2 linked regions of the Sus scrofa genome follow. The protein of the gene in region 1 interacts with the protein of each later gene in a pairwise test. Links are inferred from orthologs where the notes say so. Each region holds a gene or a part of one and is shown in the gene's direction. Other genes may lie near its edges.

Evidence for each region.
Region 2: the proteins of RCC1L (region 1) and NME6 interact in binary tests that used the Homo sapiens proteins (3 or more experiments, as listed by UniProt). The link is inferred for Sus scrofa from reciprocal best matches to the Homo sapiens genes RCC1L and NME6.

What each region holds. Positions count from the first base shown.
Region 1 is NC_010445.4:11,914,210-11,918,469, forward strand, and holds the start of RCC1L (RCC1-like G exchanging factor-like protein), read left to right. Parts: upstream 1-1,330; 5' UTR 1,331-1,390; coding exon 1,391-1,732; intron 1,733-4,260. UniProt on the Homo sapiens protein: Guanine nucleotide exchange factor (GEF) for mitochondrial dynamin-related GTPase OPA1. Activates OPA1, by exchanging bound GDP for free GTP, and drives OPA1 and MFN1-dependent mitochondrial fusion. Plays an essential role in mitochondrial ribosome biogenesis.
Region 2 is NC_010455.5:31,050,262-31,054,712, reverse strand, and holds the start of NME6 (nucleoside diphosphate kinase 6), read left to right. Parts: upstream 1-1,427; 5' UTR 1,428-1,569; exon of another isoform or gene 1,570-2,142; intron 2,143-2,410; 5' UTR 2,411-2,417; coding exon 2,418-2,507; intron 2,508-4,330; coding exon 4,331-4,433; intron 4,434-4,451. UniProt on the Homo sapiens protein: Major role in the synthesis of nucleoside triphosphates other than ATP. The ATP gamma phosphate is transferred to the NDP beta phosphate via a ping-pong mechanism, using a phosphorylated active-site intermediate. Inhibitor of p53-induced apoptosis.

The sequences.
Region 1 (4,260 bases):
CACAGCAACTCGGGATCCGAGCCGAGTCTGCAACCTACACCACAGCTCACGGCAACGCCGGATCGTTAACCCACTGAGCAAGGCCAGGGATTGAACCTGCAATCTCATGGTTCCTAGTCGGATTCGTTAACCACTGCGCCACGACGGAAACTCCTCCTTTTTCTTTTTTAAGCTGCACCTGCAGCATAGGGAAGTTCCCAGGCTAGAGGTCGAATTGGAGCTGTAGCCACTGGCCTACACCACAGCCACAGCAACACCAGATCCAAGACACGTCTGTGACCTACACCGCAGCTGACGACAATGCTGGATCCTTTAACCCCACTAATCGAGGCCAGGGACAGCATCCGCATCCTCATGGACACTAGTCGGGTTCTTAACCCACTGAGCCACAATGGGAACTCCACAGCTCATTTATTTTTAAACTTCATTTCTTTTTTTTTAACCTCCTCATTTTAGAGATGAGATCCAGAGAAGGGAGACAACCTCCTAACATCAGGGAGCAGGTCAGTAGCAGAGCCAGCACAGGAACCCAGGTGCTCAGACTCCCAAATCGCTCATGAGGGCGTCCTCCGTTGCATGCTAAACTCTAGTACTAAACCGGTGAGGACAATCTGCCGTTATGAAACCTTGAAGAAGGTGCTCCAGCTGGATCCTTGAAGGTGAGTAGGAATTTGCTAGGCATCTGCGGTGAGAGGAGGGCAGTGGGGAGGGCATTCGAGGCACTGTGTGCAACGTGAGGAAACCTGAAAAATCCCTGGGGTTTAGAAATTACAAGCAGAGCCCCCTGAGTTGGTCCGAAGGTTGTGGGTTATTGTTAAGCTGTTTAACAGGCAGAGCCACCTGACTTAAGGGGAGTGACGGGCTGAGGGGCAGAGGTGATGCTGTGGAAAACAGCAGGGATTGCAGCACTGACCCAGCGGCGGGAGAGCGGGAACAGAGGCAACACGGCCAGGTAAGAAATGACGAGGGACCGTGGGTAGGGGGCGAGCACTACGCTGGAGTCGTACAGAGTAGGCAACCCCTTAAATTTTACTCCTGCCGACTGCCAAAAAAGCAAAATGAAAGTGCCCACCAGAGCCAGCAGCGTGCTCCGCAAACGTGCGCTGTGCGGCAAGGAGAGTGAGTTCAGGCCGGCTGCGGGCTGCTGCAGCACCGCGAAAAGTTGCAAACTAAGTGGGCAGGGCCGGGAAGGGTTCCCCAGGTCGACTCACTCAGGATCGGGGACTAACAGGCTCCGCCCAGCCCTCTCGCCTCCTTGAGCCATTGGCTACCCTCAGCGTCTTTGCCTTCACCCATTCGTAAACGTGACCCTGGGTTCTTCCGCCGGGGCTTGGGGTCAAGGGTCACCAATATGGCAGCGCCCAGGAGCGGCTGAAACGTGAAGCGGAGGATGGCGCTGGTGGCGCTGGCGGCGAGGGCTCGGCTGGGGAACTGGCTGAGCGGGCGGGGGCTGGGGCTGGGGCTGCGGCTGGGGCGCGGGCACTGGACGGCGGCCGGGCGCTCTCGGAGTCGGCGCGAGGCGGCCGAGGCCGAGGCGGAGGCGCCGGTGTTCCAGTACGTGGGCGAGCGTGCGGCCCGCGCCGACCGCATCTTCGTGTGGGGCTTCAGCTTCTCGGGGGCGCTGGGCGTGCCCACCTTCGTGCTGCCCAGCTCTGGGCCCCATCCTCACGCCGGCTTGCGGCCGCGCCGCAGGATCCAGTGTGTACCTTACCGCCTGGAGCTGGACCAAAAGGTGCGCTCTGCAGCTCCCTCCCTTCCTCCGTTTCCTCCTCGGGTCTCCGCCGCCGTCTCTCGAGGCACTTGGCGACGGGTGGACGGACTTCGGGGAGAAAGATCCTCGACCGGGCTGCGGGCGGGGGGAGGCCCTAGGGCGCTGCCAAGTTGAGGGAGTGGCGAAATGTCCTAGGTGTTTTGTCTCTCATTTGCGCATCACCCCAGGAGTCGGGTTTGTGGCACAGTTATGGGCGAGGAAAGGGAGGCTCAGAGAGGTTGAGAGGAAGGTCCGTGGCCCCGCAGCTGGTTGAAGTTTGTATACTAGGATTCGCCCTCGGGCCAGGCTCCAGCAGAAGTTCTGATTTTAGGAAAGACGATTTTATGAGGTCGGAGAAAACGTGGCTGGCTGGAGTCGATGAACTACTTGGAAAGGAAACTAGAGCGCTTACAGGAATGAGGGGAAGGATGAAGGCCCCTGAGTTTACTCAGTTTTGAAAAGGTGATGCAAAGAATCGTTGCGGGACGGGAGTTTGTCTCGGCAGCCAGCACCCATTAGTGCAAAAATGGATGCTTAGGATAGATTCTTGCCTCGGGTGGTTGTGGACATCTTGATGGGTGGTGAAAAAGAAGCAAATTTGATCGGTTTGGCTTCTGACTTCTCTTTCAAGGATATCCAGTGATTTTTTAATGAAAAGGGTAGATCGAGAAAAACAGGGAATTTAAGCTCCAGATGATTGAAAAGTTGTTTTGATTTCTTCATTTTGAGTTGTAAGAGTTATTTATGTATTCTGGATTAGGTACCTTGTCATATATATATATATATATATTATATATATATATATATATAAGGTGGAAATATTTTCTGCCAATCTATGGATTTTCTTTTTCATTTCTTAATACTGCCCTTGGGAGAGCATAAGCTTTTAATTTTAATGAAATTCAGTTAAGTTTTTCTACTGTGAATCGTATATTTGGTATATCTGAGAAATCTTTGCCTAATCTAAGATTACAAAGATAATTTTCCTAAGGTATTGTCTAGGAACGTCATAGTTTTCGTTCTTATATTTAGGTTAACAAGCTAGTCATTCGAGTTGACTTTTGGGTGCTGTGGAAGTGAGAGTAGAATGTGGCTAGTATTATCATTAGTTGAAATTATTTCCTTACTGAATTGTCTTGGCACCTTTGTGAAAATCAGTATGACTGTAAATGTAAGGATTTATTCTGGAACTCTCAATTCTGATCCATTGATCTATATGTTTCTCATTATGCTAAAAGTACACTCTTGATTACTGTAGCTTTATAACTAGTTTTGAAATTGCGAAAGGTAAATTTTGGCTCTTCTGGGTGTTTTGCTTTTCCATATAAATTTTAGGACTAGCTTGTTAATTTCTGCGACAGTACCTACTGAGATTTTGATAGCGATTACATTGAATCTATACGTTGATTTGGACACAAATGCCATCTAAGCAATTTTGTGTCTTCTAATCTATGAACATGTAATGTCTCCCCATTTAATTAGGTTTTTAAGGAGTTCCTGTTGTGGCTTAGTGGTTAACAAATCTGACTAGGAACCATGAGGTTGCAGGTTCCATCCCTGGCCTTGCTCAGTGGGTTGAAAATCTGGCGTTGCTGTGAGCTGTGAGCTGTGGTATAGCTCGCAGATGTGGCTTGGATCCGTGGCTGTGGCTGTGGTGTAGGCCGGCGGCTACAGCTCCGACTAGACCCCTAGCCTGGGAACCTCTATATGCCGTGGGTTTGGCCCTAGAAAAGACAAAAAAAAAAAAAAGACAATTAGGTCTTTAATTTCTCTCAACTATGTTTTTTGTAGTTTACGGTGTACAGATCTTACACATCTGTTAAATTTATTCCTAAGCATTTTATTCTTTTTGGTTGCTCTTTTGAATAGAATTGCATTCTTTCATTTTTGAAGTGTTCATAGCTTTTACATAGAAATAGTTAGTTATTGTATATTGACCTTATATTTTGTGACTTTATCGAACTGGCTTATTAGTTATATAGATTTTTGTGTATTCTTTAGGATATTCTACATACAGGATCATGTCGTCTGGTTGTCTGTGAATAGAGACAGTTTTATATTTTCGTTTCCATTGAAACTTTTTCTTGCCTGATAGCACTGCTGAGTGTACAGCATTGAATTGAATTGCACAGTATCCTTGCCTTGTTACTGATATTAGCGAGATAGTATTTAGTCTTTCACCATTAAATTATGATGTTAGCTGTTAAGTTTCTTTTTTTGTCTTTTTGCCATTTCTTGGGCCGCTCCTGTGGCATATGGAGGTCCCCAGGCCAGGAGTCGAATCGGAGCCATAGCCGCTGGCCTATGCCAGAGCCACAGCAAGCAAGATTTGAGCCGAGTCTGCAACCTACACCACAGCTCACGGCAACGCTGGATCCTTGACCCACTGAGCAAGGCCAGGGATTGAACCCGCAATCTCATGATTCCTAGTCGGATTCGTTAGCCACTGAGCCATGACCGGAACTCCATGTTTTTAATAGATGCCTTTTATCAAGTTGAAGTTCTTTTCT
Region 2 (4,451 bases), on another chromosome or scaffold:
CAATGCTGTGATAATTTATATGTCCTGCCAACTATATGGATTCTTTTTGTTCTTTCTATTGTTTTAAGAGAGGCTTATAAGAGACTAGGTATTGGTCTTGGATAGTGCAGAGTTAGAAGGCAGATGCATTAAGTGACATTCTCCAACAGCTCCATCAGTATTAATTAAGCTGATGTTTGGTCTCCACCTACCCACCATTCCTCTATTTCTGTTCTGAGCCCAAGTTTAGGGGGAAAAAAAAAAAGGTGTTTTTTATTGAGTCTTCCCCTAAAATCACATCTGCTATTACTTTCATTATACAGGCTTATTTTTGAGGATAGTCAAAGCCACTATAAAATATGGAGATAAAGCCTTCTACAATGTTTGTAAGAGAGACACACAGAAAAGGTGAAATAATAACCACAGCCTAAAAATTGGCAAAATCCCTATATCCCAAAGGTATGTTAATGAAAATAAAAGTAGGAAACAAAGTTGGACCTTATGTATCTGAGAAAAAAGCTAAAACCAGCGGTCTGGTCAATGGGACACGGTAAGTTTACTCTCATCCCCTGAGGGCAGAAATGGACACGTGCCTTCTTCGCTAGCCAGAGGGTAAGACATGGACTTTTCTAAAGACACCCGTGGAAAGAAGCTGCAGAACTACAGAACGTCCTTCCAACATTCCAACAGTGCAACACCTGTACATGCAGGCACAAAGTCGGCTTAAACATTTTTTAATTGATAATACTTACCGCTTATTTTCACTCTTCTCAAATTTAGTGCTTCTCTCCAAGAAACAAAATTTACTACCGTTATTCAATCTGCCACTGTTCCCTTTCCATACATTAGACGATACACCATGAACACCTCTATTTCTCACCTCCTCGCCCTGGACTGCTTCAGCAAACACCAGGGTAACCCCACTCCAATCCTATCTCAAATTCCTTAGCGACATGTTCAAAGGCCTTAACGACTAGTTTCCCTCAAGACCTGCGAACATCCTTTCAGTCAAGAATCCTCCCTCACCAACCCCATATTGGGATTCTATGGCCCTTCCCGTCCACGTATCTCTCTGTGCTCAAGACTTCCAATGGCTGCAGTTTGCCCTCGAGATCCGGCGACCAAGTTCTTTGCCACCCATGTTTTTCCGACAAATACTGGGCACCAACCATGCGCCAGGCACTACCTTACACTAAAAATAAAACAGAGAGCGAGTTGGGCAACGCCACTCTGGAACGCCCATCCTGTCCTCCCCGTGCCACCTCCCCGCTCAGGGCTGCGGCCCTGGCCCTTCCTCCCGCTGGAGGGCGCCCGAGACAGCTAGGAAGAGCAGCTTCCGCCCGAGACGACTTCATTGCCTCATCCGGTACGGGGCAAGTGCAGTAGAGACACTTGGGCCACCTGGGGGCGGTCCTTGCCGCAGCAGGGCCTTCCAGACTGGCTGGCACATCGCCATACCTCACTCCAAGGGCGCTCGCGTCCTCACGGCAAGGACCCCACGGAGGGCTGCCCGGCCGAACGCCTGAAGGACCCCGCTTAGTCGGCAAGGCCAGCTATCGCAGTGCCTGGTGGCCGCGCGGGGAGGTCCAGGTGACTCGGACCCGAACTCCAGCTGGACTGGAACTCTGAATAGACCAGAATCTGGGGTGGCTTAGGCCTCGGCCGGTTCGCGTGGCTGCAGGCCTAGAGAAACGGAGGAGCAGAGAGGGAAGGAGGCGCTGCCAAAAGCTGAGGCTGGGAGCCTGCGGTATTGGAAGGCGGAGCCTCGGGTGTCGGTGGGAGGAGAAGGGCTGCAGGTTCCGGAGGCACTTGGGAGGACAAGGGGCGTGGCTGGCGCCCTCCGGGAAGCAGAGACCTAGGCACCCTTGTGGGGGCAAACGCCCAGGCAGCTTCTAAAATTTGTAATTGTCTAATGGCGCGAGTTTAAGTTGAGCGAGTTTCTCGACCTTTCAGCATTTGCTGTAAACCAAGAGCCAGGACAGGCATAATTTAGCTGGCCTTAGGACTGCCTCCCCAGAATAGCTCCCAGCACCCTGGCTTTGGAATAGGTGGATCAGATTCATTAATTAACAAATACTGTGGGAACAGTTTTTGTACCCTTGTAGCAAGGCTGTTTGGGAATGTAAATTATAAATTCTCTGATGGGAGTACTGGCAGAGACAGGTAGTGTTTAAATTTGAACTTCTGAATGGGTAACTCCTTCCTAGGTTTACAGTTGCACAAGCCAGATTATGAATTGCACAACTTGAATGGTCCCCCTACCACTCCCTTCTCTCCATCTCATGAGCCCAAATGAGCAATTAAATACTAAGTAACTGTCATCTGCTTTATGAGTTAGGAGTGAGAGCCCTGGTTGACTTAAAGGCTCCAGAGTGGGAAAGGTGGGGAATGCAGCACTGATGGGTCTCCAATCTGGCTCTCTTCATGGCAGGAGGGAGATGACTTCGATCTTGCGGAGCCCTCAGGCACTCCAGCTCACTCTGGCACTGATAAAGCCTGATGCAGTTGCTCACCCACTGATTCTAGAGGTAAGAACAAGTCCTAAGCCTCTACTCTGTGCCCTGGGCACTGCTTCTGTTTCAGGTGCTGGAGCGCCACTTGTGAAGACTGACAACACAGTTCTGTGCTAGATGGTGTGGAGGCAAAGCTAGATGCCATGGCCTCTTACACTACAGAGACTAAAAATCTGTTGGAGAATTGTGGCAGATATAAAATATAAGAGAGGATGCAATACAATAAGAACCAAACCTGAAGACAGTGTGTGTATATTAGTTCTCTACTGCTGCATAACAGATTACTTAGTAGCTTAAAATAACACTCATTATCTCACAGTTCTAGAATTTAGAGGTCCAGTAGGCTTGGCTGGGGGCTGGGTTCTCTCCTTAGGATCTCACAAAGCCAAAGTTTAGGTATCAGCTAACTGGGCCCTTATCTAAAGGGTCTAGGGAAGAATCCACTGCAAAATTCGTTCAGGTTGGCAAAATTTGGCTTCTGTGGTTATAGGACTGAGGTCCCCATGTCCTTGCTGGCCTTCAGGTGGGGACTACCCTGTTTTTAGAGACCCACATTCCTCATCACATGGCTCACTCTGTCTTCAAGAGAGCAACTGGCTGTTGCTTTTAATCTCTCTGACTTCTTTAGGCCCCAACCAGGTAAAACTCTGTGTTTTTTTGTTTGTTTGTTTGGTTGGTTAGGTTTGTTTTTTTTGTTTTTTTGTTTTTTCTTTGTCTTTTTAGGGCCGCACCCACTGCATATTGAGGTTCCCAGGGTAGGGGTCTAATTGGAGCTGTAGCCACTGACCCACATCAGAGCCACAGAAACACGGGATCTGAGCTGCGTCTGCGACCTACACCATAGTTCACAGCAATGCCGGATCCTTAACCCACTGAGCAAAGCCAGGGATTGAACCCTCGCCCTCATCGATGCTACTCGGGTTCACTAACTGCTCAGCCACAATGGGAACTCCCTAAAACTGCTTTTAAACAGCTCATGTGATTGATGAGGCCTATCTGGATAATCTCCCCCTTGATTAAAAAAAAGTCCCTTATAGTAACCTTAATTACACCTGCACATCCCTTTTGGTATGTAATGTAACATAATCACATTGCATCCTATTCACAGTCCTAGAGATTAGGGTGCAGAATCTTGGTGGGGCTCTGTGAGGGTCATTTTAGTATCCTGCCTACAATAGTTTGATAAGTATTGGTTGAGCAGCACTCTTAAGTAAGCTCAATGTGGTGAAAGGAGGCACCAGAGCAGCCAGGAGAGGTGGTGTGCAAGTATTGGGATTCAGCCAGGCTTTACAGGAAGGGTGGACTTTGATTAGTGCTGAGGCAGGAATGTGTGTGGTGGGTCTGAAGGCCACAGGCAGGCTGGGTTGATGGAACTAGAGAATTAGGAGGCAAAGACAAGGAGCGTGTGGCCTTGAGCACTGGGCTAAAGTGGTTATACCTCATCCCATGAAAAAAAGGAACCACTCAAAAGCTTCTGGCCAGAGTGTGACATATATAACTTACTGTTTTTAATCTGTCAAGTGTGATGGTTTGAAAAGAGTGGTAGAAACTCAAGGCAAGACTACTATCCAAGGCTCTTATGATGGTCTGAGTGGTGGATCCTGCAGGCTTAAGCTCAAGGGGCTGTAGGAATGGAAGGGCAGAGACAAGCTTCATGCCCTGGCTCTGTGGCCAAAGGTCTTCACCTCACCCGACATTCTTTTTCTTCCTACCCAACGAGGGACAGACCCTCAAGTCCTAGGCTTTGAAGGATCCTCATGGCTCTTTTGGTCAGCCTGGGTCTCCTGTTCACTAAGTTGGTCCCTTTGACTTTTATCCTTGGGGTGGTGTTTATCCAGGCTATTCATCAGCAGATTCTGAGCAACAAGTTCCTTATTGTACGAATGAGAGAACTTCTGTGGAGAAAAGAAGATTGCCAGAAGTTTTATCAAGAGCATGAAGGTAGGATCAACAGTCCTC